3 linked regions of the Schizosaccharomyces pombe genome follow. The gene in region 1 interacts genetically with each later gene. Each region holds a gene or a part of one and is shown on either strand. Other genes may lie near its edges.

Region 1 (10,062 bases):
ACTAATGTTAGTCATACCATGAGTAAGTGAGACATCATCAAGCAAAATATTGAATCGGGCTGCTCTCTTCATTAAATTCTCGCGAACCAACCTAGATACACGTTCACGCTGGGTGATCAACTGGCTTGCATTAAATTGAGCTACAACGCTTTTTAAGACTTCATTAACAATAGAGGGCAAAACACGTTCATCATAATCACCACCTAAAGTACGATAAATTTTTGGCAAAGCATGAACATCGGGACGAGACAAAACACGACAATTAATGTTCACCATTTGTAAATCTAAAGAAAAATGGTTAACATATTTCTAGTAATACAACCAACAAAAACCCCTCAAAGCTTAGCTATTCGAGAAGAGTAGAATCCATAAACACAATTCATCACTTTGCAACTAAAAGCTTAATTCACAGTAGGTATAAAAACCAAATGAATGTTTCTTACAGTCACCTTTAGTTATGTACGCTCAACGTTTTAATTCTTGTAACCTACCTTTCGTTCCGGTTAGAGAAGATATATTTCGTGGTTTAGCACGAACATCGTAATCAATGGCCGTTTCGATCCAAGGAATCAAGAAGTGGGTTCCTTCAGGATATATAAGGTTTTTAATTCCTCCAATCCTGCTATACTTAATAGCTCGGTGACCACCATCAACGTTAAAAAGAGAAGTCTGCACAGCAAATCCTGCAAGGCCAAGAGCTAACAACAAACCAGTTCCTGTAAAAGCATATTTTCCTTTAGGAAGTCCCCGCTTCATCAAATCATTCATCTGCTGGAACGGTCTTTGACGATTCATACTGAAAAGCTGTATACGGGAAAGAAAGACTTGTAAAATGAATACGTATAAGTAAGCATTTAAAATGGCACTTCAGTATACCTTATCCATTTTATCGTATTGTATCATAGTACGGTATTTGAGTTGGATTAATGTTGTTTTATATGCAAAAAAAAAACAAATAACTCGATAGTTTTTTTCATAATTTTCTTTTATTTTATTGATATTATAATATAAAATTAGCAGGAATTGAATACTGCTATTTTTATCGCTTTGTAGTGTGCAGCCTTGATAGAAAATGTGAGGTGCGTCGTTTTATTTCGCGAACAAGTTGAAACTTACTAAACTTCATTCATTATATGATTTATATTTTTTTTCTAATTACAAACAAAAAGGTATTGACGTTTTAATTTTAAAACTTGCTTTTTCAATAAACGGTGAACGATGTGCATTTAAAATCTAAACAAAAATATTTTTTCCCATACCTGTTATTTTGTTTTATTTTTTGAAACAAAAAAAACTGTAATTAATCAACTGTCTGATAAATAAACGAAGAAAAGCCATCGGGGACTCAAAAATATAAGTTATCAATTACATTTGCATTGTACGTTTAACAGCATTCTATGATTGAATTTTATAAAAGGTATGCTAAGACAATAGAATATTGCAACAATGTTACAATATTTAATATGAAACCGAAATTTGTTTTGCATTTTCTTATTTACTATCTTTTGGTGCAAAAGCACACATAAATGAATTTTTCTAGTAATTCTTTTACTTTTAATTTTCTTTGTAAACCTTCTTTCGATTTAATGTATAGACGGGCTTTGTTTTGTTTACAATAAATAAAAATATCTGCAATCGATACTCTACGAGACATAATTAAAAAAAAAAAATAAATAAAAGTAAAAATAAAAAGACATAGGCCCTTGGTCACAATAGTGATTGGTATAAACGAGAAACATAGTAATATGAATTATAATAGTCAAAAAATGTATACATGATATTTAGTAGTATTATAATTATTAGACTAATTTTTTGAAGTATATCTAAGGATCAAAAAGAAGCTTTATTGTTATAACATGTATTTTGAACAAAAGCTGCATAAATGAAGCATCATCCATCTTAGCGCAAGCTCAGAAGTAATATATACATAAAAGAAAATAGCCAACTTTATAAGGACTATATTAAAGATAAGGCCTCCCGAGGAGATTTGAAAATATTGTACGTTTGAACAAGCAAAGTAAAAAGGTAACGTCAAATAAACCTCGGAAGAATATATTCAATCTTTCAGCTCGTTTGAGATAAAAGTCATCATAAATTACTTAGCATTTATTTTAGCTGTTACGTCTACCTGGCACAAACCTGTACTAAATACGAGTAATTCTTTTCACTTTCAAATAACAGTAGTTTTCTTTTACGAAAGTTTTATCTGCAGGAGTTTCGAAAACGTCAAAAAGGAAAAGTAAGTAGCTCAAGTGTTCGCAGTTGCTTATATGAATCGTAAATGTATAATCTTACTCTTTTGATTTACTAATAGCGTATCCTTCTATGCCTGGCAATCGATAATCCAACAAGACACAACTAATAGTGACATACAATTGATGAACACTGTATCAATATCTCAAGACGACACTTAAAAGTTAAGGGATACATTCTACAGCAGGTCAAAGTAGATACATTCATCATAGTGTGTTTATTTCAACTGTTTCTATTTGTAGCACGTTGCTATTATAATTGGTTTACATTTTTTTAAGTAATCTAATTTTTGACGTCTTAAAAAAGTCGAAAACGAAGCTTATAACTAACAACAAAATAAAAAGAAGCACAAACAGAAAATGAATACCAAATACCAATTTAAAAGAGAAGGAAGCTGATCAAAAATTAATATAGATTGCTTAATTCAGTGACGCAATATAATTAATTTCTGTTTTCATGAACTTTACTTTTGAGACATCTGCTTCAACTTTTGCTTTACGATCTTCTGCTCTTCAATCAAGAAGGCACGAACAATTCGATCCTTGACAGCATTGGCGCTAAGGCATCCACCATAGGCACGTTGGACCTTCTTCTGGTTGTGCGAGAGACGAGCGAACTCACGAGGACGCAAAGCAGGAATACCTTGCAAGGGAACACCGGTATCACCGCAGCGAGGTATAGTACCAAGCTTCTTAATATGAAGGTAGCGAATGTTATTACCGGGAGTCTTGATGATTCTGGTTTTGTTGCTACGAGTGTTGTATGCAAGACGACGACGATAAGTAACTCTTTGAGCCATTTTGAATTATGAAATGAAAATGAAAATAAAATTATTAAAATTTTACAGCGCTGATTTGGTTGCTTGAATGCTATTCCTTAATGAAATATTCCTAACTATCCTTTTCCACCGAAAAAAAAGGCAATCGCAAAATTCAAGTGTACACGTTCTTTTTTTCTATAGAACCCTTAAATTTATGATAAACTGACCAACTTTGTCCTCTTGTTTTATACTTCTTCTGTTAGAAGTGTAAGGCGCACGGAGAGTTGATTATTGCTCTGAAAACCAACTTTTTGCGTGACTGTTTGGGATCGTGAAACGGATATATCGAGGCATAACAAACTCAACGCAAAATAACATAATGAATTATACTTAACTGCTTTAAAATGAAGATTATTTGAAATCAGAAATATCATGTTTCGAGGACATTTTGCTTTTTAATTTGCATCAGATTTTCACACCTAAAAAATCAACTTCTTCAGCTTTGAAATTGATTTTGGATCGCCTTTTCCCGATCTTGTCAACTTTTGAGTTATTTCATCTTTACGCCACTACCACCCTGACCATTTTTCTCTCCACCACACCTGCAAACTACCAACGTTCAAGCTCGTTTAATTACAGATATATTTACAGTTTTTTTTTGACTCTACAGAGTTTTTTTTGGAGTTACCTTTTTTTTAATTTTTTTTGTGCTTAAGTTATAGCTACAAAAGTGCTTGTTGTCTCTTTGATTGTTTTGTGAACAAATTTTGTGATATTGAAGATTTATTCGTAGGATATTACTGTTTGGCACTTAAGTTTGTCAAATACTAGTAAAATTCCCAAAGAGGAAGATATTATTTCCCGTTTGCAGTTGTTTTTCACTTTTTTTACTCTTCGTCGAATTTTTCAAGGGATCACCTAATAACAGTCTTTGATATTAAAAATTCAATCATTCTTTATTCCCAAATTTATACGTTTATTTTCCCTTGAATCCCTCTTTATTATTTACTAGATTAACTTATTGAAAATTGCAACATGAAGTTTGGTCAGCTTTTGAAGGAAACGTTGATGTATGAATACAAGTATTCATATGTCAACTATGACAAACTAAAGAAGGAAATTAAACGCCGCAATGATCAAGGTGGTTGGAGTGAGGAAGACGAGTCGGACTTTGTTGAACTTTTAGAAAAGGAGCTGGATAAAGTTTATTCTTTTCAAAAGAACAAGTCTGCCGAAGTTATGGAACGTATCCGATTCTGTGAAGAACAAACTGATGAAGTTGTTCGTCGTCTTGATAGTGATAATCCTCCCAATGAAAATGATTTTGCAATCTTGGAAACTGAACTTACCGACATTATGGCTACTGTCCACGATTTGGCCAAATTTAGCGAACTTAATTACACTGCGTTTTATAAAATCATCAAGAAGCACGACAAACATACAGGTTGGATCCTTAAGCCCGTTTTTGCTGCTCGTTTAAATGCTAAACCATTTTTCAAAGAGCAATATGATTTATTGGTTGTTAAGCTCAGTAAGCTTTACGATTTCGTTCGTACTAGAGGTAGCCCTATCAAAGGTGATAGTGCTGCCGGTGGTACACAACAAAACTTCGTGCGTCAAACCACTAAATATTGGGTTCACCCAAATAATGTTACCGAATTGAAGATTTACATTTTAAAGCATCTTCCTGTACTTGTTTTCAATCCTAACAAAGAATTTGCTCGTGAAGATGCTGCTATTACTAGTATCTACTATGATAACGATGATTTGGATTTTTACTTAGGCCGTTTGGAAAAGCGTGAAGGCGCCGAAGCTATTCGTCTTCGTTGGTATGGTAATATGGATAACAACAATATCTTTGTTGAACGAAAGACTCATAGAGAAGACTGGACTGGTGAAAAAAGTGTGAAAGCTAGATTTCCCCTTAAAGAGAAATATGTAAATGCTTTTCTCCGAGGTGATTACACTGTCGAAGAAGCATTTGCCAAGATGCGTAAAGATGGCAAGAAGTCTTTGAAAGAAATCGAAAGTCTTGAAAGGCTTGCCAAGGAAGTTCAGTATACTGTTTTGAGCCGTGGAATGAAACCTTATGTTCGCAGCTTTTATGAACGTACTGCATTTCAACTTCCAGGTGATGCACGTGTTCGTATTTCTCTTGATACGAACTTGTCATTGATTAGGGAAGACGGTCCGTCCCGCGCCGGTAACAACTGGAGAAGAATGGATATTGGAATTGACTATCCTTTTGATCAACTTCCTGATGAAGATATTGTTCGTTTCCCTTATGCCATTTTGGAGGTCAAGTTGCAAACTCAATTTGGTCAAGATCCTCCTGAATGGGTTAACAATCTTGTTAATAGCCACCTGGTCGAGGCTGTCCCTAAGTTTTCCAAGTTCATCCACGGTGTATCTACTCTTTTTTACGACCGTGTTACTTTGCTTCCATATTGGTTCCCACAAATGGACATTGATATTCGTAAACCTGCTACTCACACTTTCATTCAGGGACGCAGTCAAAGCGGTACTCATAGTTCATCTGTCTCTGCGAATGTACTCACCGATTCTGAGAATACACCAATTCATGCCGATGGTGACAATTATGTTGACGAAGAATCTCGTATTGGCTCATCTAGTACCCGGAATGACAATTCTACCTTCCAAACATCGGACAGTTTTCAAGAGCTCGATGAACGCACTAATTTGCTTGATATTTCCAAAAGGAAAGGACGTGACTCATTCGTTGCAGCTCTCAACAGCAGATTAAAGGACATTAAGGATTCATTTTTCTTGGAGACTGTACCCAAGTTCGAAGAACCTACTGAGCCTACGGTCATATATGAACAAAAGTATGTGTCGCCTCCTGGTAAGCGAATTTATGTCCCAGTCCGTGTTGAGCCCAAGACATATTTTGCCTTGGAGCGTACATACCTGGACTATCTACGCTATTCTATTTTGATGGGTTCCATCGGTATAACTTTATTTAGTTTCGCTAAGACGCGATCTGGTATTTTAGGAGCTGCTAGTTTCACGTTGGTAGCTTTATTTGCTATCTTCTATTCCACGTTTTTGTACTTGTGGAGAGCTGTTAACATAGCCAAACATAATGCGGTCCGATATGATGATCGTTTTGGTCCTACAGCTATATGCGTGATTACTTTTGCTGCAATCAGCGCCAATGTTATCTTAAACTTCAATGCATAAACTCATTGAATTCTCCAATATATTTAGAATTAGCAATTGAAAGATAATACAAATCAACTACATCTTTTAATAATTGAAGACTAATTATCGGTTTAATAACTAGTCTTAATATTGCATTTTTTGCATTAATATGCGTTAATTTAATTGGGAACATGGTCAACGGGGTTTTATTTGGGTTTCTTACTATTATTTTTTGATTGCTTTATAGCATATTATATTGGGTTCTTTAATTTTCTTTCAACTGCTTCACAGCACATTATTCAGGATTCTTATTTTTTTTAATTGCGTCGCAGCACATTATTCGGGGGGTTTTTATTTTTAATTTTTAATCACTTTTTAGAATACATTTTACAATCTAGAATTTCAAAATAAAATATTATTTAAAACAAAAAGCAAGCAAAATCATTTAACAGTTATGTCTATGGTCGCCTATGCAGAATAATTTTTCCAACCAACTTTTTCTAATTTATCAGCCTTTTCTAAAACAATCTCTTTCATATTGTCCATAAAGCTCTCCATAGCAGCCAAAAGGGAGGGTTGAAATGTAGCAAGTATACGACAGGCTAAAATACCGGCATTTTGGCTATTATTGATAGCAACAGTGGCGACAGGGACACCTCGAGGCATCTGAACAATAGAGTGAAGAGAGTCAACTCCGTCAAGAGTGCTTCCTTTTACAGGAACGCCGATTACTGGAAGAGGTGTCATTGCAGCAACCATACCAGGCAAATGAGCGGCACCACCAGCACCAGCAATAATCACACGCAACCCTCTTGAAGCTGCGGTACGAGCATAAGTAACCATGCGATCTGGTGTGCGGTGAGCTGAAACAATAGTAAGTTCGTAAGGCACCTTGAATTCATCTAAAATGACGGCAGCATCTTTCATCTTGCTTAAATCAGAATCCGAACCCATGATAATACCAACAACAGGTGATTCGACAGGATCTTTGACGTCAAGAAGCATCTGATACCTACGTTCACATTCTTGAGGTGAATCAGAAATGATGGTAACGTGTCCCATCTTGCGACCCTTTCTAGATTCAGCTTTACCATAAAGATGCAAAGTTGCACCGGGAATGGACAGAGAACGTTTAGCGATCTTTGAAACATAATCAGGATCATCAGTACCTAAAATATTTACCATCAACGCATGAGTTGTGGAAGTCGAGAGTTGGGTGTTGATTTCGCTGAAAGGAAGACCACATATGGCCCGTAAGTGAGCTTCAAACTGAGAAGTTGGGCAAGCTTCAATGGTGTAGTGACCTGAATTGTGAGGCCGAGGAGCAATTTCGTTGAGTAAAATGGTCTCACCATCTTGCAAAACAAACATCTCTACACCATATATACCAGCGCCTTCAAAAGTGCGCACCGCATCCATGGCAAGGGTTTGAGCACGCTGTTGAATTGAGAAGGGAAGACGAGCAGGGGCATATACTAAATGACAAACATTATCCTTTTGAATGGTCTCAGTTGTAGGATAAGCATAAACTTTTCCGTCTAAACTGCGTACTACCATCACTGCAATTTCCATGGAGAAAGGAACGAACTTTTCAACATAAAGCGGACGATCACCAAGTGCTTTGATGGCAGTAGGAATCTCAGATGGTTGATGAACAACGTAATTTCCACGACCGTCGTAAGCCAATGTTTTACTTTTCAGTACAAAAGGATAACCAAACTCTTGGCCTGCTTTTTCAACACTTTCCTGGTCAGGTGCATCGCAAAATTCAGGAAGTGCAATCTTAAAAACCTGTAAATGCTGTTTTTGAAGATATTTGTCTTGAATGCATCGCAGAGTTGCAGGAGAGGGTTCAACAGCAACAGATTTCGTAACGGCTGCCAAGGCATCAGTGTTAATATGCTCAATTTCAGTTGTTAATAACGTGCACTTCTTAGACAGTTCAACAATTGCATCGGGGTCAGTAAATGATGCATCAATGTGCTCACGTCCTCCATCAATTTGTTTGGCAGGAGAATTTGCTGCATCCAAGATGATGCATTTGATGTTTAAGCGATGGGCTGCCTCTACCATCATTCGGCCCAATTGACCACCTCCAAGGATCCCTACAACCTGTTTTTCGCTCATATTCGATGAAGTATGTATATACCTTGGCAGCTCAGCTTAATGAGATGGTAAATGTTGAAAAAACGAATCTTTTTTTCAAAGTTGTTTATTGTAGTGAGTTAGTGCGCAGTTTATTATTTGAGTTTTGCATCGTATTAATTCTGTCATCGTTACATTTCCAAGCATTGTGAAATGCAACTTTAAAGCAGCATACGCTAAAATCAATATAGCTTTGCTATTTTTTCAAGAAATAAATGTATATGTCGTTATCCATATATAAAGCAACGTTTGTTGTCGTTATACCTTATACTGCACCAGGCTGGATTTCGTTTACCTCACCACCAAGTTGAAAGAATACTTGTCGTCGAACCAAGTGCAGAATACGGTCTATTAAAAGTCGTCCATGTTTCAATGTGCGTATCACTATGTCCGATTGGCGGCTTACAGAAAATGTACTTGACCAAAACATACCTGAAACTAAACCCAGGGAGTCCAAGACTCGCCTCGAGGAAATTCAGCGATTAGCATTGTTTCAAGAGGAACTCGACATTATCGAAGAATTGGATGACCCCGTGGATGTTTGGTATCGCTGCATCGAATGGCTCTTGGAAACAAGATTTTTGGGCATGGAAACGGTCAACAAAATGCTTGATGATGCTATTCAGTACTTAGAAAGATGTCGCTTCGCGCTTAATGATGTTCGTCATCTTCTCATACAGCTTGCGAAAATTAAACAATCATACGAAACTCCTGATGAATTGCAACAGGCGGCCAAGCAATTTTACCAATTGGCATCGAAAGGCATAGGCCTTGAACTCGCTTTGTTCTACGAAGAATATGGTTCTTTGCTCATTAGAATGCAACGTTGGAAAGAGGCTTCTGAAGTATTTCATGCAGCTGTTTCTCGAGAAGCGAGGCCTTTGGTTCGATTGTTAAGGAACGCTGCTGAGTTCTCTCGTGCCTACGATTTGCATAACGCTCACCCTTCTATTCATGATGCACCCTATTCTTCTCCATTTCCTCCTCCTCGTATTGTTTTGGGCTCAAAGCCGGTTTCATCCTCTACTCTTCCTTCAAAGCCTAAATCCTTTCAGGTTTTTTCCGATGCTTCATCTTCCCGCGACTCACAAAATGCTTCTGATTTGCCTCAGGCAAAATCCCTAGAATCCGAAGCGAATACTCCAAATCTTCCCCTGCTCTATGATAAGAGCTCTGGTAAGCGAGTTGAGTATTCTGCTTTTAATTTCCTTGCTTTGTATGAAAATGGAGAAGAAAGGTCAATGGAAGAATGTCGGGCGCAACGTTACCTTTCTTCAATTCAACCAAACACTGCTGCTTCTTTCCCGAAAGTGGTGCCAAAAAATGAAATTTCAGTGCATCATGATTCATCTTCATCCAATGTATCACCTATTTACAAGAACCCTGTGGCCGAGCAATCTGATACTCCTACACGTTCTTTACCAAAAAATTATGCTTATGTTGCAAAGTCTACATCTCCTGAATTAAAAGTTTTTGATACAGTAATGCCTGTTGCATTGTCTCCAAAACCAGCACAAAAACCACCTTCTCCTACCATACATACGAAAGCAGCTCTAGCAGATATTTTAGATATTTTTAATCAGCCTCTTCGTTCTGAATCATTGGAAAAGTCATCAAAGTCTCCTATTTCTGCTCAGTCATCCTATTTGGGTACACCGCTAAAAAATGACGAAAATTCATCTAATTCTGGAGCGACTTCTTTAACTGGTCGCTCACAAGAAGAGCACTTAGACTTTATACCC
Region 2 (10,871 bases), 220 kb from region 1:
CAAACCAAAAGCCAAAGATGTGAAACTGAACGGCTCCAAATTAGAAATAGGCCAATTTTGATAGTTTAAAAAAAATATGTCGGAGGAAATAATATGCTGCATATTCACAAATTCAATTCCATTTAAACAATATCCAAATCAAAATTCCCAGTAAACATTTCAGTGCACGTTATAAGTTTCACGGGTTCCATCTCTTACCTTCGTAGCACATTCTACTGAATTAATTTTGCTAAGAAACACTTATTTGTTAGTAATACACCAGCACAAATAACCATACATTCTTTTTGGAGCTCCAGCAGTGTCATCTCAAAACGTCAATGTCCCGTATTCCTAAACGGAATAGCAAAAACTATACCTTTCAACACTTCAATGCTTACTCTTAAAACCAAGCAACGTCAAAAGAGTACGTGAAATTCGGATACGGTACAGAAATGCTGGTGGAATGTAAACGGTAGAATGATCGGATTACTGTAAATATGATCCACCTCGGTATTTATTCGGTAAGATTTGGTGTAGTAGCACAATAAATTTCAGTATATCTAGTGATTTAAATAAACTATTATTTTACAATATTATGAAGATTTCAAGTGTAGTTTTAATCATTAATATGGATTGTAAAAAAACAACAACTTATTATCACATTTCACCCTTCCATAGCTGCAAAGTGCAACTGCTTATTTACTATTTGCTGACCTACTCCTCGCATTGAATTCTGTACGAAAAAAGTAAATAATTTCAAAGTGAATAGGGTGTAAAGGAGTGAATGTCCATTATTCTTCATATATACAACCCATCGCATTGAAATTAGGCATAGTAATACGCGTATATAACGATTAGATATACATCTTCTACCATACCGCTAGTCCACCAACTAAAAAATAAGCAAATCCCATTTTGTCCTAGTTGGATTATATACAGTAGAACCATAAAGTGTCATACATTTGCATAGAAACAAATCCCGAGCACGAGAAAATTGCCGAAATTACCCTAATCCAAAATTTTTACGACTTTGCCAACTGCAACCGTAGTACCCTGATCACGCAAAGTGAAACGGCCCATATACTGATAGTCCTCAAACCTTTCCATACAAACCGGAGTTTGTGTTTCCAACTCTGCAATAATTTTCATACCCTTGGTAGCAAACATGGGGGGTTTCTTGCTTTTGCGGTTTGTTTTGTCAAGTTTATGGAGCAACTTGGCAAATGAAACTTCCTCGACAGCGGTATGAATGTGCATTACACAAGAATAACCAGTTGTCAAAATTGAAGGCAACTCAAGGATCGCAATTTGTGCAATGAAACGAGTAGTAGCATGAACTGGGTTTTTAGTGGATGTTAAAACATAACCAGTTTGGACATCCGAATCGTCACCACGGACACGGAGACGAACTTGGTCACCGCAAATAGAAGAAGAGATTTCTTCATCAGCTTCATCATATATGGCTGTAACTTCAAGGGTTTGATTAATTGGCATAACCAATACGTTTGAATTTTTCTTAATCGAACCAGCCTCAATCTTTCCTTCTAAGATGGTACCCAAATCTTTATACTTGGAGGCAATAGGCATGATGAATGGAGCATTCACTTTGCGTTCCAAATGAGTCATAGAATCCAAGTATTCTAGCAAAGATGGACCTTGATACCACGGGCAAACCGAACTGTCAACACGATCCTTAACGTTTTGACCAGTGTAAGCAGAAACGGGCATATATTTAACATCAGTCTTTGAGTTGTATCCAGCGACACGACGCAAAAACATGCTGAGCTTATCGACACATTCCTTATAACGCTCCTCCGACCACTGAACGCTAGGTTCGTCCATTTTATTAATAACGACAACTAGATGATTGATGCCTTGTGTACGAGCCAATACGGCATGTTCACGAGTTTGACCACCGCGCTCAAAACCAGCTTCAAACTCACCACGACGCGCTGAAATGACTAAAACACCAATATCAGCTTGAGAAGCACCATTAATCATGTTTGTAACGTAACCTTTATGACCCGGAGCATCCAACAAGCTAAAGCGACGGTGTTCGGTTTCAAAGTAAGCACGACCAACTTCAACGGTTTTACCTTTTTCACGTTCTTCAGAAGTGCTGTCCAAAGCCCAAGAAAGATACCAACTTTCTTTACCAGCTTCTTTAGCTTCTCTCTCTATTTTCTCCATAGTACGCTTGTCAACCATACCAGTCAAGAAAAGAATATTACCACCCAGGGTAGACTTTCCTGCATCAACATGACCTATAAAAACAATATTGACATGTTCCTTTCCATACATATCCTTCAAAAGCTCTTGATCAACCTCATTTTGTAAATCGGTGGCATCCTCAGTGACAGTGGCGGGTTCAGCTGCCTCAGCAGCTTTCTTAAGAGCCGCTGCTGGAGCAGAGGGTGTTTTTGCTAGTTCAGCATCAGCAGATTTTGTAGGAGTTTCCTGGGGAGGAGGAGCAGCGGTCTCCTTCTTTGTTGACTCAGAGGTAACCTTGGGTGCAGGGGTCTCTGTTTTGCTTTGTGCAGCAGGTGCTGCTGGTTTGGTAGTTGTAGGAGCTTTTGTTCCACCAAGGCTGATGCTAATGGGCTTTGTAGACTTAGGAGCAGAGGTGTTTCCACCCAGGGACAAAACCTTTCCTTTGGGAATTGCTGGTTTAGGAGGCACAAAACTCTTCTTTTTAGAAAAATCAGGGACACGGCTTTTATCTTCATCAACAGTGTTTCCTGTTGGCTTTTGGTAGTATTGCTGATAACTCTTCGTAGGATGTGGCGAGTTGCTGTTTTGTCCTTGGCCTGTATATTGGGCATAAGGATAACCACCAGCAATATTGTTCACAGGTACAAATCCGGGGCCTAGCAAGAAGTTAATAATTTTTTTACTTAAAACAAGCAATCATCTCAAGACATATGGATGGTGTTCTAATTAAAAAACGTACGTTGGAAAGAAGGAATGAAGGGAGCAGCTTTAGGCGTAAACGTAGGTGCCTTTGCAGACATCGACAGTTTAGAAGTCTGCTTGGCGAGTTGCTCATCCTGTTCACCGTTATTTGGCTGATTACTAGCCATTTTTTGCCTTTATTAAAATATGTGGTAAAGGGACGGTGATGTTGAAGAGAATTTACACCACAGTATACACTGTGTATTCTTTTATAATATAATATTACGAGTACTTACGATGATATTATTAGCATCCTTTATATAAGCTTGTGCTATAGTAATTCAGTTAAGTTCATAAAATATTATATTTGAGTTTAATTTTACATTTGGTTGTAAAATCGGAAGCAACTGAATTGTAAATTGGTCATTTTCTCGCTTTTTTCTTCAGTAATACGCTATTATTGTCTTAAACAGGTAAAATATATTGACTTGCCTTGGGAGATAAAAAACAGAAACTTCGGTGGGCTTAATACCAAACACAACATTTATTAGCTATTGGGTTGAACAATTAATCAAAAGTTTTTAAATCTATTGGTTAATTAGTCTCCATTGTCACCAATAATCACTGCAAGGATTTTGTCATGGAAGAAACGATGAATCAGCGTTACAGCTTCAAAATATATACCAAGCAAGTTCCAAAAGATTCAATATGTAAATCCATTATATAATTATTCACTTTAGGATTTCCTTATACAAAATTCTATAGGCGTGTTTGGATATTAAACTTCTATCCTCCACATATCACTATGACTTAGCGCAAGTTCTATTTGGTTCTCAATTTACTACGCTTCTTTTTATTTCGTTATTAATTTGTTGTTAAAAGGAATAAATACAATTTGAATGACCATTATTTATTTGTTTAGCCTTGTTTTCTCTTGTGTTTTTTAAAGCCGCCTTTTTAGAAATGGATGAATTACTTAATGTAGCTTCTCATGCTGCGACATTTGCTACGAACTTCGCGTTGAAACATAGTATATCATTTGCAGGAAAATTAGCTGTTCAGCAAGTTAGCAGCTATATTAAACGTGCCTCTGCAGATGATCAAAGTGAATTGGAGTCTGTGAAAACTCAACTGCTTGAAATGATTCGAGTTGTGACGCCTGCTATCGAACTAATTGAAATAATGTCAGTCGGTGAAAATGAAAATTTTAAGAGTACTAAGCAATTAGTGGATTCTTTGCACGCTGACATCGAACAATTCACCAAGCATGTTTTAAGCGCCGCTCATTCGGAATTTCCGCCTTCCTCAGAAAAAGAAACTTTGCAGAAGAACGTTGATACGTCTATTCTTCGTGAAATGAAAACTTTACTTCTCAAAATTAATGATGCAGTTCCTCTCTTAAATCTGTCCATCACTACTTCTGGTGCTTCTATTTCATCTTCTCTTCCAAAATCTACTTCATTTTCCCAACTTCTACGAGCTAATTCATACATATATAGGGCGAATGTTGCATTTACTGGAAATGAACCTTTACAAGTTGGCCCCACATTTTTCCTGCGAACTTATAAAATTATAGATAACCACGCCAAGTCTGGTTATATAAGCAATGATTTAGTCATGTGGAAAGAAGAGATGCCTGTTTGTATCGCCAAAATGTTTCGCATGCCTCCTCAACGGTTGAAGTCCAAGGATACGGTTCTAGCCTATGCTTTATCTTTAAAACAATCTTTTGATGATGATCGTTACCATGATGAAGATGAGACTCCTGTCACCAAAACCATTTCACTAAATGATGTGCGCACGCTTTTTTTTAGTTTGTCCGGTAAACTTCTTCGGTTAGATGATGTACAAACTCCCGTATTATTACTCAAGTATGCAGATGATGAAACAGAGTATTCTTCAAATACAGCACCTTCGAACTGGATAGCTTTAGAAGCACTTCCTTTGGTATCAATACCTAATGAATCATTAGACGAATCTGATGAACTTGCAGAATCTCTTAGTGATTCTGAAGCTGCTAGGCTACAGCTTTTAGGCATCAAAAAACAAGAATCCGTTGCAAAGAAAAAGTCTTCCTTTCCATCGACTATAAAAGATCAACCTAATTTAACTTTACTGGAGTATTTGATTAGATTATGCGCGCTCGAAAGTACTACCCAAGAATCAGTTTTACAATTACCTGACGAACAAATTGCATTGTATCTTAAAGATTATCAAGGAAGAGAGAGGCCCCGAGATCCGGCTTCATATAATGCCTTAGAAAATCGAAGTGAACTAAGCGCCAGTCCAGGTTCAGTATCCTCCTCCAGACATTCTGGAATTTTTGCGACACCAACGTTTCTGTCACCATGGAATATTAAAAACATACCTCTTGTTACCCCTGAAGTTTCAACACGTCAAACGAAAAATGTTGATGAAGAGGATTCAGCTTTATTGATGGCTAGCCCTTCTGTCCGGAAGTCCAATTTACTTCCTCAGGAGGACCTCATTTCAAAGGATTCTGTGATTAAATTAAAAGAAAACCCTTCTGTTATTCCTCATTCCGAGCCTGAATCATCGTCGAAAGTTATCAACTGCCAGGCTAAATTAAATGTGGAAAAAGAAAAGAAAAACCCGTGAAAACTTTATCAGAGTAATATTGACGCTATTCAATACACAACTATTCTAAATTTCACTTCCCATGGGAAATCCTTGAAATGGTGTTTGATCCCCAGTAAATTTGAATACATAGATTTCTCTAATGTTATATGCACCTTTTTAGACGACCAAAACATTCAAATTACTTCATCTTTTTATGATTGAATACTTTATGTGAGAGTACTTATACATATGATATGACAATAACCTTCATTTGTCGCTATTTGGAATAATAACGAAAGTTGTGAATTCAAGGGATTCCGGATATATCGTCTTTGGAATGTAAGTACTTTGCGAAATTGAAAATATCGGCCTCTTGGTTTATGGTAAAAGAATCGTTTTCTTTTTCATTCAATTGACTTGCATCAATGCGATTAGAAGCATCTGTTAGTGAAAGAGGTTTCCTATATCCTAATATATCTTCACTGATGGGTAGTGTTCTTCCTAAATCGAAGGTGTAGGCTTGACTTGCAGGATTTAAAGAAGAATTCATAATATCTTTGTCGGTTGAAAACAAAAAAAGGCTAGCCAATATTGGGTTTTTCTGAGTGAAATTTAATAACTCCTGATACTCATTGGCGAAGGGTAGAAAAGGCTGCAAATGACAAACGCATTTTAAATTACTCTTAAGTTGTTGTTTTATGGCTCTGCATTTTTTGCTGAATTTCAAGTTAATATTTTTTTTCTGATCAATGTGACATACCATAGTAACGGCCTTCCTCTAGTTCGAACTTCTATCAGTGCCCTTTCTTGATGCTGGCAGGATGAGCCTCGATGACCTCGAAGGCATACAACACTAGAGTAAGTGTTAAAAATTTTATCTTATAACCATACAAAAAGTCTTACCAAGCATAATTCTTACCGTCAATAATGATCATGATTGAAGGTATTTGTGATTAAGGGAAAAGAAGACAAGTAGGATTCGAGTAAATAAGCTAGTCGAGGAACGTTTTAAATAAATTCCTCTTATACGTTCTCTTCCTTTAGGTTGATAAATTGTAAATGACAGCTTTTTCCCAAATTCCTTTTTCCTCGTCTCTGCTTTAGCTTTCTGATCCAGAAGAATTGCACAACGGATATTAATAGAAGACAAGACGAACAGCTAAGTGTTTTAAAATAATATACTTTACTTTTAAATATTTCCAATGTTTGTTGTTTGTCAAAAGTTTGAGTGCTGGCATAAATTATTTATAAGCTCTAGCTATGGACATTTGTTTACATATTATGGGATAAACAAATACATCAACTTATTGACACTAACCAACAATAACATACAAAATAGGAAGGTATTAAATCACTATGTTCAATGTTTTTGAGCACAATTTCGTAGAAAAGATAATTTTGATTTAATGAGTGTGCAAACTGATCAAATTGTGATTTTTCCTCGAGGCGATTTCATTCTATGTTTTTATGATTGCGTCAATTCTCTAAGCAGTTTTGCGATTTTCTGCACTCTAAACTTGTTAAATAACTTTTGTTTGCAAAAGGTACCAGATGCTATAAAGACTGGATTTTGTTAATATACTACTTTATATTATAACATATATGATTTTCAGATTACAAAACAGCTTAAAAGTTTGCAACCTAAAGACATAATAACTTTTTTATTGATTGCTCATTTATTTTAATTGATTATTATTTTTCAGGGTTATATCGAGTTACTTTGTTTTAATGTCAGGTTTAAAAAAATAATTAAATGAAAGTAAATGTAAAATGAGGTAGGCTTGTCAGACCCTTCAAATTTTTTTAAAAAAAATTGAAATATTTCTTTCAGAAAGGTATGATTAAACTCACAATTTTTTTCGATTTCAAAAAATCTTTTAATCAATTTGAATATTTGCTACCTACAAATATTGTCACATAATAGAAATGTAGACGAAGTGATTTCATCAAATTAAGGAACGTTCAGTATTTTAAAAAAAGATATGTAAATTCTACAATTTGTGACGATTTGGAGATGCTACTATTTGAAATGTAAATGTATTTACATAAATGTATATTTGCTGCTAGATGCTGATATACTGGGTATAATGAACATAATTACAGCACAGTACTTAGATGCATTTAGCGCACTATGAATAAATCAGTAAATATTGAATACCTGTCAATTTTCTGGAGATAAAACTAACTAGCTAAACTAAAATCATATAATGGAGCTTCTAAAATCAAGTACGTTGCTGAAATCGAACACATCAATACGTGCGGTTCTTTACTCAAATTCACTTGACATTCTATTTCATGTTTTTCAGAATGCGAAAGATGATAATGTCTTTCTGATCAGATTGCTACAAGATGAGACTACTAAAAGTATTGAAATTTAGAAAACCTTATAAAAACAATAACTACCTTGCACACACATTTTCTTAATTTGATGAGAATAAAACTGCTAACCCCAACGGTCGTTATTTATCGTCTGGGTATCCGTAAATCTCTGTATACCTGTTCAAAGATATACAACGTCACATCTGTCAACTACATTCCATTATGTTGTTAAATCCCTTCAAATGTAAGCTACGCAGTTTGGTATCTGATTTAAGGATACGTAGAACTGCGGTGAGTTTTCCTTGTGATCTATTATATTACAATACACAGGTTGTATAAGTAGCAACTGAGTATAGGTATTGTATTAACTGAGTTATAATGTTACCTATCACTAATATAGCTTATAACTGAACTGAGGAACGAGGTTCAGCAGTAGCTCTATTTATATTATTCAGATAATATAGATCTTGATAGATTATCATTAAGATCAATCTCAATATCGTATCATACATGGTACTATATATAATTAGAACATGTGACATATAGTGATACGCAACGTAGTGTATTATAGCGTAGTGTAGTATTGCTGACATCAAACAATTCTTTAATTACAGTAAGAAAAAGCACCTCCATTATCCTTAATAAGAATAACGAGCTATTGAAAGAATACGTTGTTTATACCTTTAAATTAAGCGATTATGTCGCTTTAAAGTAGCAACAATTGGTGTGATACACAAGCGCAATCACGCAAGCAGTAGCTCTCCGAACTGGTTTATTTATTTGTTAAATTCTCAATTTTACTCTTTACCAAGTATACCTAAATATCCCAGTACTTTGCTTAGGTGTAAATTCCACGTTTGGTAGGAATTTTAGGCATTTGCAACTGAACATTTATATCTACAGTTTAACTAGAAAAAAATACACCAAAATTTTAAAACGTTTAACGGTTAATTTTTTTGGCGAAATTTTGAATCTAAAGCTGTATCTTAATTAAGAAACAGATTTCTAACTTTTTAGCGAATAAAAGCATACTTGTTTCTTTTTTTTTTTTTTTTTTGGAAAGCTCGTCAAAACGAAAAATTTTGGTTTGACACTTTTCTCCATACATTTGGATTTTTTGGTTTCTTTTTTGGGGTTCAACATTCCTTTTCATTAAATATTATTTAATTTTTTGAAACGTTTTGTTAATCAAAATTTTAAATTTCTTTAATTATTTTCTTCCGTTTAATCATTGATTTGTTGGTTCAAAATGGTTGCTACTGATTCTTCCGATCAAGTTGCGAAATTCGATGTTTCGCACAAAATCATTGAAGATATTGTTTATTCTCTTTCCAACCGTATCTTTTCTTACGCGGAACACGTTCCTTTGAACCGTTATTTGACTCAGTGGAACAACTCTGGTCGCAGAAACGGATTTTCCAACAATGTTGAACTTTTCAATTTGGAGGCTCGCTCTGGCGCTTCCGCTTTCTTGTTGGGCTCTTACACTGCAGCAATCTCTTCTCCTGGTGTCTACTCCATGATGACACCTTCCAGCTGTTTATCGCTTTTGAACCCCTTGCTTTCTAATATTATTCCTTTCTATGGAGCTAGTAAGCCTCTTGTTGTTCATGTCGCAGCTTTGGCCTACCTCGAACAAACCTATTGCGCTGATAACGTGAGTGTTTTAGACTTTTCTTACGCCAACAACTTCACCGTTTTCGCTTCGCAATCTAATGTCGAGGCTGCTCACCTCGCTTTGGCCAGTACATTGGCTGCCAAGGCTGCTCCTGTCATTCATGTGTATGAGCCGGATGCCATTGTCACCACAACTGATCCCAGCCTTCCTCTTCTCGATTCCAACGCCGTGGTTGAGTGCTTCAACTCTTACCAATCCGAAGCTGATCCTGTCTCCAACGCTTCCAAGGCTTTGAAGCATGTCAACGATTACTTTAACACTTCGTATGCTCCAGCCGAGTATTACGGATCTCAAACCGCTTCTAAGGTTATTGTAACTTTTGGGAAGTCTGAAACCGTCGCTGCTCGCGCCCTTTTGGCTGCCAATCCTGATGTGGGCGTTCTTTCTATCCGTATCTTCCCTTTTGTTGCTGAAAACATTTTCAATGTTCTTCCCACTACTTGCAAATCTCTTGTTGTTCTTTCCCAGGTTCGCTCTACCGCTGTCGGAACTTCTTCCATCTACTATTCCTTCCTACTTGCTACACTGTTGAGCACTAAACCTTCAGCGCTTGCTATTTCCGAGCATCGCTACTCCTTAGTAGAGTCCGTCACCTTGAGCTCTCTCTTTGATGCTCTTCACGAGACCCTGCAATTGAAAGCTGCTACTCCCAAAGCTGTTCATGTTGATAAGAGCATCAACGTTTGGGAATCTGATGTCGGTGATTCCTTGGTGCTTTCGTTAGTTTCTGCCTATAGAACCGATAAATCGAGATCTGTTGCCTTCCGTCCTTTGTTTGACAACTTGACCTTGGCTGGCGTCCGTTTTACCGTTGCCCAAGTTTCTACGGCCAACGCTGTTTTAACAGATGTTGTTAAAGATGTTGATGCTGATATTACTATTTTAACTACTGATCGACTTCCTTTACATTATCGTGTTCTCGCCAAGGCTGCTGAACATTCTATTTGTTTATTACAGTCCTCCATCGCACCAGATGAAGCAACTAAGAAACTTCCATACGAATTTATCGCTGATGCTTTGGAGAAAGGAGTGAAATTAGTGCTTATTGATCCCAAAAAGTTTGCCATCGATGCCTCGAACTTGCCTTTGTTGGTTTCATTTATTCAACTCGTCAAGCCTGGTTTAGGTGTTGACGAGGCTTTGGCTGTTTTGGCTAAGCAAAATAATTTAACTGACACGAATTTGAAAGATGCTGTTGACTCACTTAAGCAATCTCTCTCGTTCATTAATTTAGACGCCTCGGCTTTGAAGGATCGCGAGCCCTCGGAGAAGGAGTTGCCAAGTACCGCGAAGGAAACTTCGTTTGCTCCCAACGCTGTGAAGACTTTAGATGAGGATATCACCCCTCAATCTTCCAACTGGCAGACAGTGGCCAAGCAGATCATCTTCCCCGAGGCTTACAAAAAGAAGGACGCCCTTCGTC
Region 3 (12,458 bases), on another chromosome or scaffold:
CGAACGTGTTGAATCAATCCAAGAATTGTTTCAAAAATGTGTCATTGAAGAGAAGTTACCAGTAGACATATTTTTCTCTATTTTTTCCTTAGCTTTTGAAAGATTGGAGGAAAAAAATACCTTAGCTTCTTATGTAATTGATACGCTTTGGTTATTTGACACAGAGTGGATCAAAAACTTTCACGAAGGAAGTCATGATAAAGCTGAAAAGAGGCTTGTTTCAATTGGAAAAGGACTAAAGGAATTCCTTCCAGAGGAATGGTTGCTTTCTCGCTTGGATTGCAAATTTTTGGAAAATATTAATGTCGTTCCTAATGGCGATTTTCTAAATCGGAAAATTGTGCGGACAAATACTTCGCTACTCTACCGCCAAAAAAAATTTAATTTGCTTAGAGAAGAAAGTGAAGGATTTTCACATTTAATGATAAACTTTTTTGATGCTTTAACTTGTCTTCGCAATAAATCCTTAAACGAAGATTATCTGATCGTTCAAGTAAATAAGTCAATTATCAGTACTATTGGTGCTTTTGATTTAGATCCGAACAAAGTACTGGATTTGATTTTGTTGCTTTTTTCTGAAAATTTACTTGATTCGTGGCGCTTTTTCCTTTCTATCTTGAGAAACAGCCCATGGGGTCCGAATAAAGAGCGGAAATTTTGGAATCAGTTACCTGATCGCGAAAAGGAAACATTTTTAAATAATCTGTCTAATGCTAATGGTATTTTTAATTTTGACGAGCGATTCACCAATACAAAGAGCATAATGTCTCAAGTTTTGGGTCATAATTTGCAATATATGTATAAAGAAGATGACGAGAATTTGGAATCTTACTTTATGATGGTTGCTTTGTTGATTAAATATAATTTTATTAGCATTGATAACATATGGGCTCATCTTTCTCCATCAGATGAAGAGCTTGGTAAAGAGTTGGGTAAATATAAGGATAAATTAGATGAACAGACTTTTAAGGCTAAAGGAAATGCTTTAACAATGGCGGCCCCATTGCCCGACGATGAAATTGAAGACGGAGAAACCATGGATGGCCAGAAAGCTGAAGCTGTTCCTGAAATAAAAAAAGCCAAACCTTCACAGAAGCTGGGTCTACTAAAATCTTTATTGTCCATCGGGGATTTATCTTCATCTCTATTAATCTTGGGTCGTTATCCATTTTTGTTGAGGGCGTACCCCGAATTATCTAACTTGTATCACAAACTTTTGCATATTTCTATTTCCTCAATTTATGCAAATTACAGTCCATTGAAATTGTTACCAAATGATGTAAGGGAACGACTTAAACAGCCAAAGTTCATTCCTGAAGACTCTAGGCTTCGAGAAATTACCCTGAGGCCTCCAAAGGAAAAAAATTTAGTGTTTTCGTTGGATCCTTTTGCTGATCGATTCAACAAAACTGAAAGTGAGGTGTTTTATTACTTTGAAAATTATGATGAAGATATACCAATTTTACGTAACTTGACAGAGTTCTACAACATAGCTATCCCATGGTTACGTTTGTCAGGGCTTGCTCTGTGTCATGATCCTGTTATAGTGACAAAGCTTTGCCGCATTGGTCAAAAATGTGTCGATAATAGCTCTGAGAGTCGGACATTATGGCTGGATATTATTAGATCGCTTCTTCTTCCTCTCATCACACTTATTGATGTCAATACTGGACTTTCCTATGAATTATTTGAGTTGCTGTCAAAGTTTGATTCATCCACTCGATATGCGTTGTATGGTGAATGGTCAAGTACCTCCATGAAAAAGTTTCCGGAGCTAAAGCTACAAAATTCTATCACTGAAAAGGAAACAAAAGGCATCTTAAGAAGGTTAACGAAAACAAATGTGAAGCAATTTGGTAGATTATTGGCTAAAGTCTGTCATTCGAATCCATGTACTGTGTTTTCGATCGCTTTAAATCAGATTGAAACTTATGATAATTTAGTTGAAGTTGTAGTTGATAGTGCTCGTTTTATTACAGCATTAGACTTTGATGCATTGACATTTATTATTTTATCTTCCTTTTCCAATGAGTTCAAAAAGCGATTGAAATCTGATGGAACTAGTATAGCTCATTGGCTCCAAGGTTTAGCATCTTTTTGTGGCCGTGTATTCAGAAGATACTCGAGCCTCGATTGCACCTCTATCGTCGAATATGTGATTAAACAGTTTAAAGTGAACCAAATGTTTGACCTTGTTATATTGAAAGAATTGCTTTCGCAGATGACTGGGCTACAACCATGGACAAATCTCTCTGACAATCAGATTCAAGGGGCTGCTGGTGGACCAGTTTTGCGACAACTTAGTTTATCTCTTATATATGAAAATCCGGACGTTGTTCGGAAAAGTTCCATGAGACTTTTTAATACGCTGCAAAAGAACGGATTGGCAACCCAGCTATTGGTACTACTCTCTCAAAAATATTCGACCTGTATATATGATGTTACTGATGAAAACTCTCATTTAAAACTTATTTCTTCTCTTCAAGACGAATGCTCTGATGTTCTTTATCTTTTAATGGAATTTCTTAATATGGTTTGCTCTCCAAAGAGCTATTATAAATTGATTCCTTCATTTGAGCAATTAATTCAAGATTTTCATATTCAACCTCAGGTTGCATTTTATCTATCGCGTTACAAAAATTTAGATCACAGTTTGACTGGTTCAAATACTGAGGATGCAATGGATATTGATTATGAAAATACTTCATCTCCAAACACTGCTAGCAACCCCGTTTGGAGTATTGACAATTCTGTCATAACTGAGTTATTACCTAAACAAATTTGGGATTATTTTTCACCTAATTTTTATTTAACATTTTGGAAGCTATCGCTGTATGATGTTTTTGTTCCCTTGGAACGTTATGAGTTTGAGCGTTCTCGGGCTTTTGATCAAATTAGGCAAACTGACGCCGCTAACACATTTTATTCACGACATCGACACGACCGACAAAAAATAATGCAATTGTCTAACAGCTTACAGAATGAACTTAAAGAACACATTAATTCACTTGAGAGTGTAAGAAAAGTTTTGCAAGGTGACTGCGTGAAATGGTTTATTCCAAATGGTGTTTTTCCTAATGGTACAAGACTTGAGCATGCTAGATTCAACTGTGCTCGGTATTTGTGGACACTCTGCATTGCTCCCCGTTTAAAAATGAGCCCACATGATGCTTTGTACTGCGCAAAGTTTGTAAAGCTTTTGCACAGTCTTGGAACACCAAACTTTTCAACTATGTCATTTTTAGAAATTTTGTTTAATTCACAATTGCCTTCATTTATTTTTTCAATGACACAACGAGAGGCTGATAATTTTGGAAGATTTTTATACGAAGTACTCTATGATATTACTAGCTGGTACAGGGACAAAATTCTTTACGAACGCGAATGTTTGGCAAATGGTGCTTTGCCTGGGTTCAGGTTATATTGGTCTGACGAACAAAATGATCCCGATCTTTCCGCTGTCCTTCCTTATAACAAATTTGTTTTGCTATTTAGTAAATGGCACAAATATCTAACATCTTATTTTGAGTCATGCTTACTATCTACTGAATATATGCATATCTACAATAGTGTCATAATCTTGGAAAAAATTTTGCCATGTTTCCCATTGATAATTGAAAGTGGCAGTGCTTTGAAACGAGCCGCTGAACGATTAAAGGACGAAGAAAAACGAGAAGATTTAAAGGTTTTGGCTTTGGGGTATTTTGCAAAGCTCTCAAAAAAGCAACCAGAATGGGTTTCTTTTAATTCATTTTCTGGTACTGTAAGGCCGAGTAATTCAGAAAAGCTTCAGAGACCGCAACAACTTTCAGTGGCAGCTACATCAGCAGTTGATTCCAAAACTGCTTCCATATCGGAAGAACAGGCAAAGATTGATAAACAGAAAGTAGCTTTGAATCCTAGTGCACCAGAGTTTGTACCTGATAGTACGCCTTCCGACGCAGTTGCTTCTGAAACTGACAATAAAAATCTTGTTGAGAACAAGGCAGTAGAGAAAAGGGTTGAAGCTAGAAGCTCAGCTAATGAAAGAAAACAAGAAGAAAGACGTAGAAAAACAACTCCTGAAGGAAACAGACGTGCTTTACGAACACGCACCCCTACGAATGAGGATATACAAAGATCAGACAGTAAATTGCGAGAGGATCAGTCTAGAGACCGAACACCTCAATCAAGAAGTTTTACAAATGAAAACAACGATAATTTAAGGAGCGTGTCTCGTCATACTCGACGCGAGCCTCAGCAAGCACAAAACCTAAATGCTAGGCGTGAACATGAATCACAGAAATCTGACAGATGGCGCCAAAATGGAAACGTAAATCGCAACCCTCGAGTGTCTAATAACAATAGCACTAATGTTTCAAGAGAGCGCTCGTCTGAAGCTAATCATAGGACAAGCAACGATAATAAACGTGATGAGGTTACAGAAGGGAAAGATAAAAACAAAAGGCAAGATATTTCTGGCGAGAGTAATTCTCGGCAGAATAATGCTATTAGTCGGGCTGGAAGAAGTAATGGATCTAATAGGGGAAATGATTCCAGAGATGCAGATGGTCGTCGTAGCACTCATTATGCTTCAAATAAACGTCCCCGATCTTCGGATAGTCAAAGCCCGAGCAACCTACGAGAGGAAGATGAAAGAGAAAATTCTCGTCGTAGGGCCAGGCAAGACGACCGAAGGGATCGGGATTCACGACAGCAAAGAGATCGTCCACGGGATAGAACATCTCGATCTGCTCGAGAAGAGAAAAGAAGAAAAATTCAATGATCCACGTTTCAAGCTTTAACTAGATGTCAGCTTTTTTTTCTTATCTAACTAAATTTGTAATTACAAGGAAATAATGAAAAATCTTTATATAAGGAGATTCATACACAGAATTATGATGGTCGTGAAAAATCGTAATCTAATTATTTTATATGGAATGAGCAAGTATGTTTTATCATAATTGACCAGTTCATTTCAAGGACCTTCAAAAATATACCTACTTAGTATTGGCGAAACGTAGAACGACTTGTATCAGTAGACTGTCTACGTGGCGGGCCAACTTTAGGATGCAAAGAGTCATTACGAATTATGAACTTGCTTTGTTGCAAACCAGGGCTACTGTGTATTGAGCTTCCAGTATCAACAAGCGGTTTTTGAAAGTTTTTTAATTCTTCGACCTCAGCTTGTGATTCTAAAAACTTGCCCTCCAACTCACGGTACCGCGTTAATAGCTCATCGTAATTTTCTTTTATTTCGGATATTTTAGACAACTGAGCGTCGTAATTTAAGTTGACAGGATTATGCAACTCAGGTGCGTTCGCTTCAGATGAAAGTCGTTTTTCCAAATCAAAAATCTTAGCCTCGTAAACAACATTAATGGCTTCCAGGTCCTTTTTCAGTAGCTCAATATTAGCTTGAAGATGCAAGTTTTCTGATTCCAGTTTCATTCGATGTTTTTCTGACTCGATCAACTCTCTTTCTTGCTCATCACTAACAGCTTCACTGTTAGAGAGAATCATACTACTGTCCATCTTCGTATTTCCAAAAGAAGTATCAGAGCTCGAAGAGACTTGCTTTTTGGAGATATTAACGCAGCTCAAATGCTGTTCATATTCTTTCAACTTAGTTTCATAGAGTTGAAGCTTCAACTCCAGTTGATTTTTTGAAAACGCAATGTCAATTTGAGAATTTCGTATTGATTCCAATTGCGAGATTAATGATTCAATTGATGATTTGAGTTCTGATTCTTCACTTTTCCAAGCTTTCTTTTCTTCTCGTAACGCTTTTATTTTGTTGTTAAAATCATTTTCCCACTTAACCCTACGATTTAGAGCTGCCTGTGATTCTGAGCGATGTTTGTCAATTTCAGAATTCAGTAACTCTATCTGAGCTTTATATCTTTTGTTGGTTAAAAGCAATTTTTGCCTTTCTGATTCCACAGCCATATCTAGTATGTGCTCACGATGAAGCTTTCCAATATTTTGCAAGTGCTGCTGACGAACAAATTTTTCAAAACGGAGCTCATTCTGAAGAAATAGCAGATCCCTTTGTAAGCGTCGAATTGTATCGTTCGTGCTGCTCAAACTTTCACTAGTCAGTTCCAAATTATTTGAGCCGCGTTCACCTTTAACCATGTGAATTGAGGAAACACCTTCACTATATGATGTACCATGCGAAATATTATCATAAGAATCTTCAGTATTTGATAATTGGGCTTTGTCAAATGTAGTCGCGGAATGAACAGAACCCGATATTGATGGATTTTGAGGCCAAGATATGGAAAAAGGCTCAGAAGCAATATCATGGCTTTCATTTGGATAGGCCAATAATCCAGTAGCTGAACTTGTCTCTTCATAAGTGGTGGGAAGCTTACCACCAAAAGGATCCATAACACTTTCGGCTATTCCAACAGCGTTAAGACTATTACATAGGGCCACTACAGCAATAGAATCAAGTCTTGTCCAACGGGATTTATCGGTAAGTTCTGTTTCTGCTGTATATTTAAGAAAATTAGAATGTGCCAAATGTCTACCGAGAAGACCATCCGACTTTGTGGAGAGGAGTTCTTGATTAAAGGAATAACGTATTTGGAAATTATGTTTAGAAGCATACAACTTAGGATCCCGAAGAAACTCTAAAAAGTTTATAGGGTACAGAGCGTACAAAATTGAGAAAAGTTGAGAGTAGTCAAGACTTTCGAGATAATCTGGTTGAGAAGAACCAACAATATCATGAACATCATTGTAAGAGCTATCTGTTTGAGAGGTGGTAGTTGAGGCATACGTTGACATAAAATCGTGAAACACCTCCCAATTACCAGACGCAGTAGACGATGGGAAGCCAGAGGTCGGGTCAATCATTGAAAATCGAAGATAGATACAGAACAATCTATATAAGGAATCGTCTAAGGAGTTACAAATGTGAGACAGTATCATAAGGATGAAAGATAATGCATACGACAGTAAGATTGGTGAAGTATCAAATTCCGCACATTTTAAAACAAGGTCATAGAAGCCAGTCTGTGGTATTTCATATAAACGAGGACCTTGCCGCCGTATTACTTCAACCATAACTGATAAAATAGGGATTCGGGTTGGAGGATTTAAAAAATGATGACAAAAACAAGAAGAAAGTTCCTTTGGTCTCTGTATCCCATAATGGACGAGAACATTAACCAAGCATTCAATAGTTTGATTCCTTTGCTCTTGAGATTCCACGTCACCTAGATTTTCGATAGCTTTAGAAACGTAAAGGTCAACCAAACGAGTGATAGTTTCCTCAGCGCACTCCCGTCTCAAGTCTCCACCCCATTCATCCTCGTCGTGAAAAATTAAAATGTAAAATAAAATACTTTTCAAGTCACTAAATACCGGTTTCAATTGGGTAGGAGAATTCAAGAAAGGAAAAAAGATCTGGTCCCACCATTCACCAACTGCTTGGCGATCCAAAATCAACAACGGTATAACCGTTTTCAACACAGCTAGCCATAGTATCCGTCGCCTTGTATTATTGAACGGCGTCTTTTCGTAGATCTCGTCCAAGATGTGTCTTATTTTTTGTGAGTTAGTGGGGTTTTGTTTGGGATAACGCTGCTGATACGACTCAACTTCCGCAATTAACTCAGTCAAATCGGGATAGCCTTCCGATTCTTCTTCATGAAGGACGTTCCATAATGCTTTGACTAGCGATTGCAGCGGCATTCGTACAAAGTTGGCAAAGTCAACGTTGATATACAACTATGCGACATTATACTGATAGCAAGTCTTGGCAGCATTGATAAACGTAACGAGGATAGCGTAGTCTGCCACATTTTTTTAATTAGTCTTTGCATTTTCAACCAAATTATACAGCGCTATCCAAAAATCCTTTAACTAGATTACATGTCAACCATACAGGTCGTAATTCGTTTTTAAGATACGATAGTACTGCAATGATATTTTTTAGTGTAATGTACATAGTATAATAAATTTATTGTAAATAGTTATAAATATCCTAAAATACTCGTTAAGAATACCAAGAAGTATTTATAATTACACTTATATAGCTAAAAATTGAATTGAGGAACGTTGTTTTAAACAAGCTTTATTTGAAGGAATCATAAGTAGTAAAGTAAGTTGTAATTTTTATCCAAATTATGTAAACATCATCTATACCATGGTACTTGATCCATCTCCAAAATTTAAAGAATGTATTAAGTATTGATTTCTAGGACTATACAGTATAGTAGGCAGTGTTCGCATTTTCAGCACAGAGGAAATACGAAAGCAAACAATGCGAAAACACATTGAGAGTTCTCTGAATAAACATGTAAAAATAAAAAGAAAACGGTTTTACTATTAAGGATTCCTAGGGAACTTTTCTTTCAAAGGAAGTTAGAGGGCAAATAATTTGAGTCGGTCTAATATTATGGTAACATATTCAAGCACTTTTAACGACATACTCTTAACTGCTATGTTATTCCACAGTGTGTTACAGTCACTTAGAGAGAAAATATTTCATTAATAAAAAAAAACTTTTATAGGGCAGGTGTAAGAAGCGTTGCAAGGCGCAAAGTAGAAAAGAATATAGTCATGGAAAAGGGAAAGCCGGTGCTTGTAAATAATTACAAACACCAATATTTTTTAATTTATATCTTAAAGTCTTCCAAGTTGGCGATGTAAAGTTTCATAACAAAAGCCATTTCATTTTCATTGCATATTTTGGGGTCATTTCAGTACCCAATGGAACTAACAGGAGAGATGCAGTGAACAACTAAGAAGTATCAAAATATCTGTAACTGTTTATAATCCTTTTTTGCTTACTTCTTTTACTTTTTGTTTTTCCCCAGTCTCCAGGAGTGCTGGGTAAGCTTTATTTACCAACCATCTGTGAATTATCCAGCCATAGCATATCTCCTTCTACTAGTTTATATAATATTTCCTTTCAAAAAATAGGCAAGCGACTGCATATCCTTGTTTAAATGTCTTATTTTGATTCTTTTTTTATTATTATTCAATCGGTGTTATCACATGAAATTTACCGATTCATTAAAACCCCTTTCGGAATAAGTTGACGAAAGGTGGAAATTGCTACCTGTTTTCTTTGTTCTGCTTTCTCACTGTTAATTTGTTGGGGTAAACAAATCAATTGCACAATGTTCTTTGTTCCGTTAAAGTTCCCATTGTTCGCCATTTAATGATTTCTTTGTTTAAAAGAAAGCGTATAGCAATGGTTAGATGGGAAACTTCGAAGTATAAATACTAAGGCATTTCCCGAATTTTCATCAGTGTGCCTATATCGACGTTTACAAAATTGCTCCAATCCTTCATTCGATTTTAAATTTAATAGGGATCAGACCTATTGAAAACAGCTGGAGACCTGATTTAGTATCGAATTACCCGTAATTGATTATAAAAATTGACGGTAATCAAGAAAGTGGGACTATTACTATATATTTAAATTTCTTTTATCTTATTTGAGTTCTGTACTTCTCTTTTATCTTTTAAAAAAATAAAAGAAACAATATTTAACACTCCATTGTGCTTGGCTGCCCGATCTCTGTCGCTTTTTCGCTTAGCAAGATCACAATTCTTTTGTTCATCACTTTATTATTTATGATAAAAGGCTACAAATTCGTAAAAGTAAGAATCAGCTTTGGATGCCCGCCCTTCATAACCCTTCTTCACCACCGCCCAGTTATGAAGCTGTTACGTCTTATCGCAACGGAAATTCAATAGATTCCGGCGATAAACGTCAACAATGTTCTCGATTAATGAAAATTACCTCTAATGGTAGACCCTATAGCAAGGACTTTTTGGAGCTCTTCTCGACGATGGTAATTTCTACGAATTTTTCTCGGAACAGGTACAGATTCTCATATGTGGAAAACTCTTGTACCTTATTGCAATTGCTTTCAACATTGGAAAATCTTCAGCTGAGTCAGGTAAACCGCATTAAAAGTAGATGCGGCAGTAAAGTCTTAAAGTCTACTACCAAATTTACGATACCTAAGACTGCTGCTAAATGTTTATGTAATACATTTTTAAATGCTCGTTTGCTGCAAATTGTAAATAACCCATCGGCTAGAAAATTTTCAAACGAAAAATGTCTTCTTCAACTTACAAGGAAAGGTTACTCTGTTGTTAGTGAGTTTCTACAACATAACGGACATAATTCTCAAGCCGAGCTTTACGCTTCCAAATGGAATCATTCTGCGCCCGTCATTGTTTCCATTTCGCGCTTTTCAAGTACCGATCAAATACTTAAGGATTCTTCTTTTTGTGAAATGTTGCTGGTACGTATGCTTGGAAGCGTCCATGAAATTGGGAAATCTAAAAACCCTCTTCTGGTACCCGTTTACTCCGTTTCAAGTCCCTCTCCAAAAGACTCCTTAAGCAAAGTCACCAAATACCAAATGTTTGGCATTGACATAGCTGAATGGCTTATGTGTAACACTATGCTCCTAGACTGGTCGGAAATGGAAACTGTTGCTAGCGATTTGTTAATTCATTCATACATTGCTTACGAAAATAATTCCGAGACTCCTTTAAAGTTTAGCTATGCAAAGGGTGTTTCCTATTTTTTGACTGGAAAGGGAATTGCGACTCTAGGATGGACTAAAAATGTCTCCAATAATAAATTAATTAATAAAATAAATGAAGTCGAAAAAGGATCCACCAATAAGGAAATCCTGGAAACCATTCTTAGAAAGCCGAATCTACAAACCTATTTCTTTGAATTTCTGAAAAAAAATTTTTGTGACGAAAATCAACGATTCTATTCTGAAGTTTGCGAATTTAATGACTATTTTTCTCATGCTAATGAAACTAATGATCATGAAGCAATTCGCGAAAGTTTTGCTCATGCATGCGGTATTTACAATTGCTTTCTTTCATCTAATGCACCTAACGCCGTCAATCTTCCCAGTGATCTTTATGAAAAAATAACCAACCATATGGCCTTAGCCATGGAAGTTGAACCCCTAAATGAATGGCTCCAGTTAATTCACATTCTTTTATTAGAGGCGCAAACAGCCGTATTAGACCTGATGGCCGGCGATTCCTTATTGAAATTTCTTGAATTGAATGGGGGGCTCGGTATTTAATGCATAGAAAACAATCGTGTTTTAAATCATTCATTAGCAGTTCCTCTTGTTTTTGTACATATTTCTTATTTGCATTATTATTTTTATTTTATCTCATTACGTGTCTATTACTGATCCTTTCCATCGCTATGCTCTGATGCTTCCGTTTTCTCGAACAAGAATCATATGCTTATGTTTCAAGGATGAACTTATAAGGCTATAAATGCTTTGCTAACATATTTGCTAACTGAGTAGAGAAAATCCGAAATGAATATATGAATTAAGCATTATTATTTTCGGTGAACATTTGAATATCGAGATGATAAATCTTGTAACTATGATCTATATAAAGATCCGAACACTTAAACGAAAATCGAATTTGAAATTAACTGGCTTAATTAAAATTTCAACCTCTTTTAAACTCTTTTTCGCCAGAAGCTTCAAACACTGAACTAACCCTCATCAAAAGAAATTGAATTTAAATAAAGTTGACAACGCCTAAAGAACATAGTCATTAACCAGCATCAGCACAATAATTTTTCATTAAATTATGAGCAATAAAATCGAGTTTAAGTGTTTACTCTACTTTTACATTTAGCTAAGGCTATATAATTTGGACAACGTATGCCATAGTAATATTTTTGAAGGTCTCAGGGTTTCTCAATTTATTTGTGTTAACCAAAAATTATGAAAATATTTAGTTGATAATCATTTATAAACCTTGTTTTTTTCACCAGATTTCTATGTTCTTGAATGGGATTAGAATCCACAGGTTACTTAATTCTGAAAATTATAGACTGAAAAATGTATTTAGGAGCATATCCTATACAGATAAATTTTTTAACTCAGCTAAAGCTTAAAGTGAAGTTGCTTTTTAGATAACTGCTGGAAACCCTGTTGTAAGTATGGCCAAGTTGTTATTGAAGACACCGGAAATTATTACCGGTAACAGCAGGATTCTTTCGCTACTTCAAAAAAAGTCGATTAAATTACTACCTAGATATAATTTTTTGACCTATTTAACTCTTCATACCAAAGTTAATAAACTTATTATTGCTTTAGAGTTATTCAACTCATCCAATTGACGAGAAAATCTATAGCATCGTTTTCCAACGTATTTTTAAATCATATTTTACGAAACTTAGTGCCTATTCTCTCATACATAATACAACTCTCTCCTGTGCATCAGCATCAATTTTTACTTCAATCTCATAATAAGTGATAAACAAGAAAGAATAGAGAAAAGTAATTTATTAAATAAAAACAAGGAGTCATGGACAGATATAATCCCCCAAGAAGGAATGGCAATTCAAAAAAAAATGAAGTCGTAATTACCGGAGGACGTACACAACGAATTGACTTTGAAAAAGACGTAAATAAAACTACTATACTTCCCCGCTGGAGCTTCGGTAG

The links.
Region 2: of ade6 (region 1) and sup35, a mutation in one rescues a mutant of the other (synthetic rescue), as found in Schizosaccharomyces pombe (one study listed by BioGRID).
Region 3: mutations in ade6 (region 1) and tsc1 impair growth when combined (synthetic growth defect), as found in Schizosaccharomyces pombe (one study listed by BioGRID).

What each region holds. Positions count from the first base shown.
Region 1 is NC_003421.2:1,314,577-1,324,638, reverse strand, and holds ade6 (phosphoribosylaminoimidazole carboxylase Ade6), read right to left. Parts: upstream 8,359-10,062; 5' UTR 8,303-8,358; coding exon 6,644-8,302; 3' UTR 6,604-6,643; downstream 1-6,603. Other genes in the region: prohibitin Phb2, read right to left, coding at 18-284, 492-795; rpl3402 (60S ribosomal protein L34), read right to left, coding at 2,717-3,052; transporter chaperone complex subunit vtc4, read left to right, coding at 4,049-6,214; mitotic spindle checkpoint kinase Bub1, read left to right, coding at 8,707-10,062.
Region 2 is NC_003421.2:1,527,641-1,538,511, reverse strand, and holds sup35 (eRF3-like class 2 translation release factor sup35), read right to left. Parts: upstream 3,114-10,871; 5' UTR 3,060-3,113; coding exon 2,930-3,059; exon of another isoform or gene 2,896-2,929; intron 2,847-2,895; coding exon 988-2,846; 3' UTR 501-987; downstream 1-500. Other genes in the region: SNARE-binding protein Sec1, read right to left, coding at 199-239, 278-305; SPOM_SPCC584.03C (GTPase regulator), read left to right, coding at 3,835-5,490; Cu metalloregulatory transcription factor Cuf2, read right to left, coding at 5,759-6,167, 6,212-6,304, 6,355-6,386; met10 (sulfite reductase NADPH flavoprotein subunit), read left to right, coding at 9,020-10,871. UniProt on the Schizosaccharomyces pombe protein: GTPase component of the eRF1-eRF3-GTP ternary complex, a ternary complex that mediates translation termination in response to the termination codons.
Region 3 is NC_003424.3:670,556-683,013, forward strand, and holds tsc1 (Rheb GAP, hamartin Tsc1), read right to left. Parts: upstream 7,705-12,458; 5' UTR 7,684-7,704; coding exon 4,984-7,683; 3' UTR 4,766-4,983; downstream 1-4,765. Other genes in the region: THO complex subunit Tho2, read left to right, coding at 1-4,765; G-protein-signaling regulator Rgs1, read left to right, coding at 9,621-11,066. UniProt on the Schizosaccharomyces pombe protein: Together with tsc2, required for uptake of various amino acids from the environment and for proper conjugation. Involved in induction of gene expression of permeases and genes required for meiosis upon nitrogen starvation.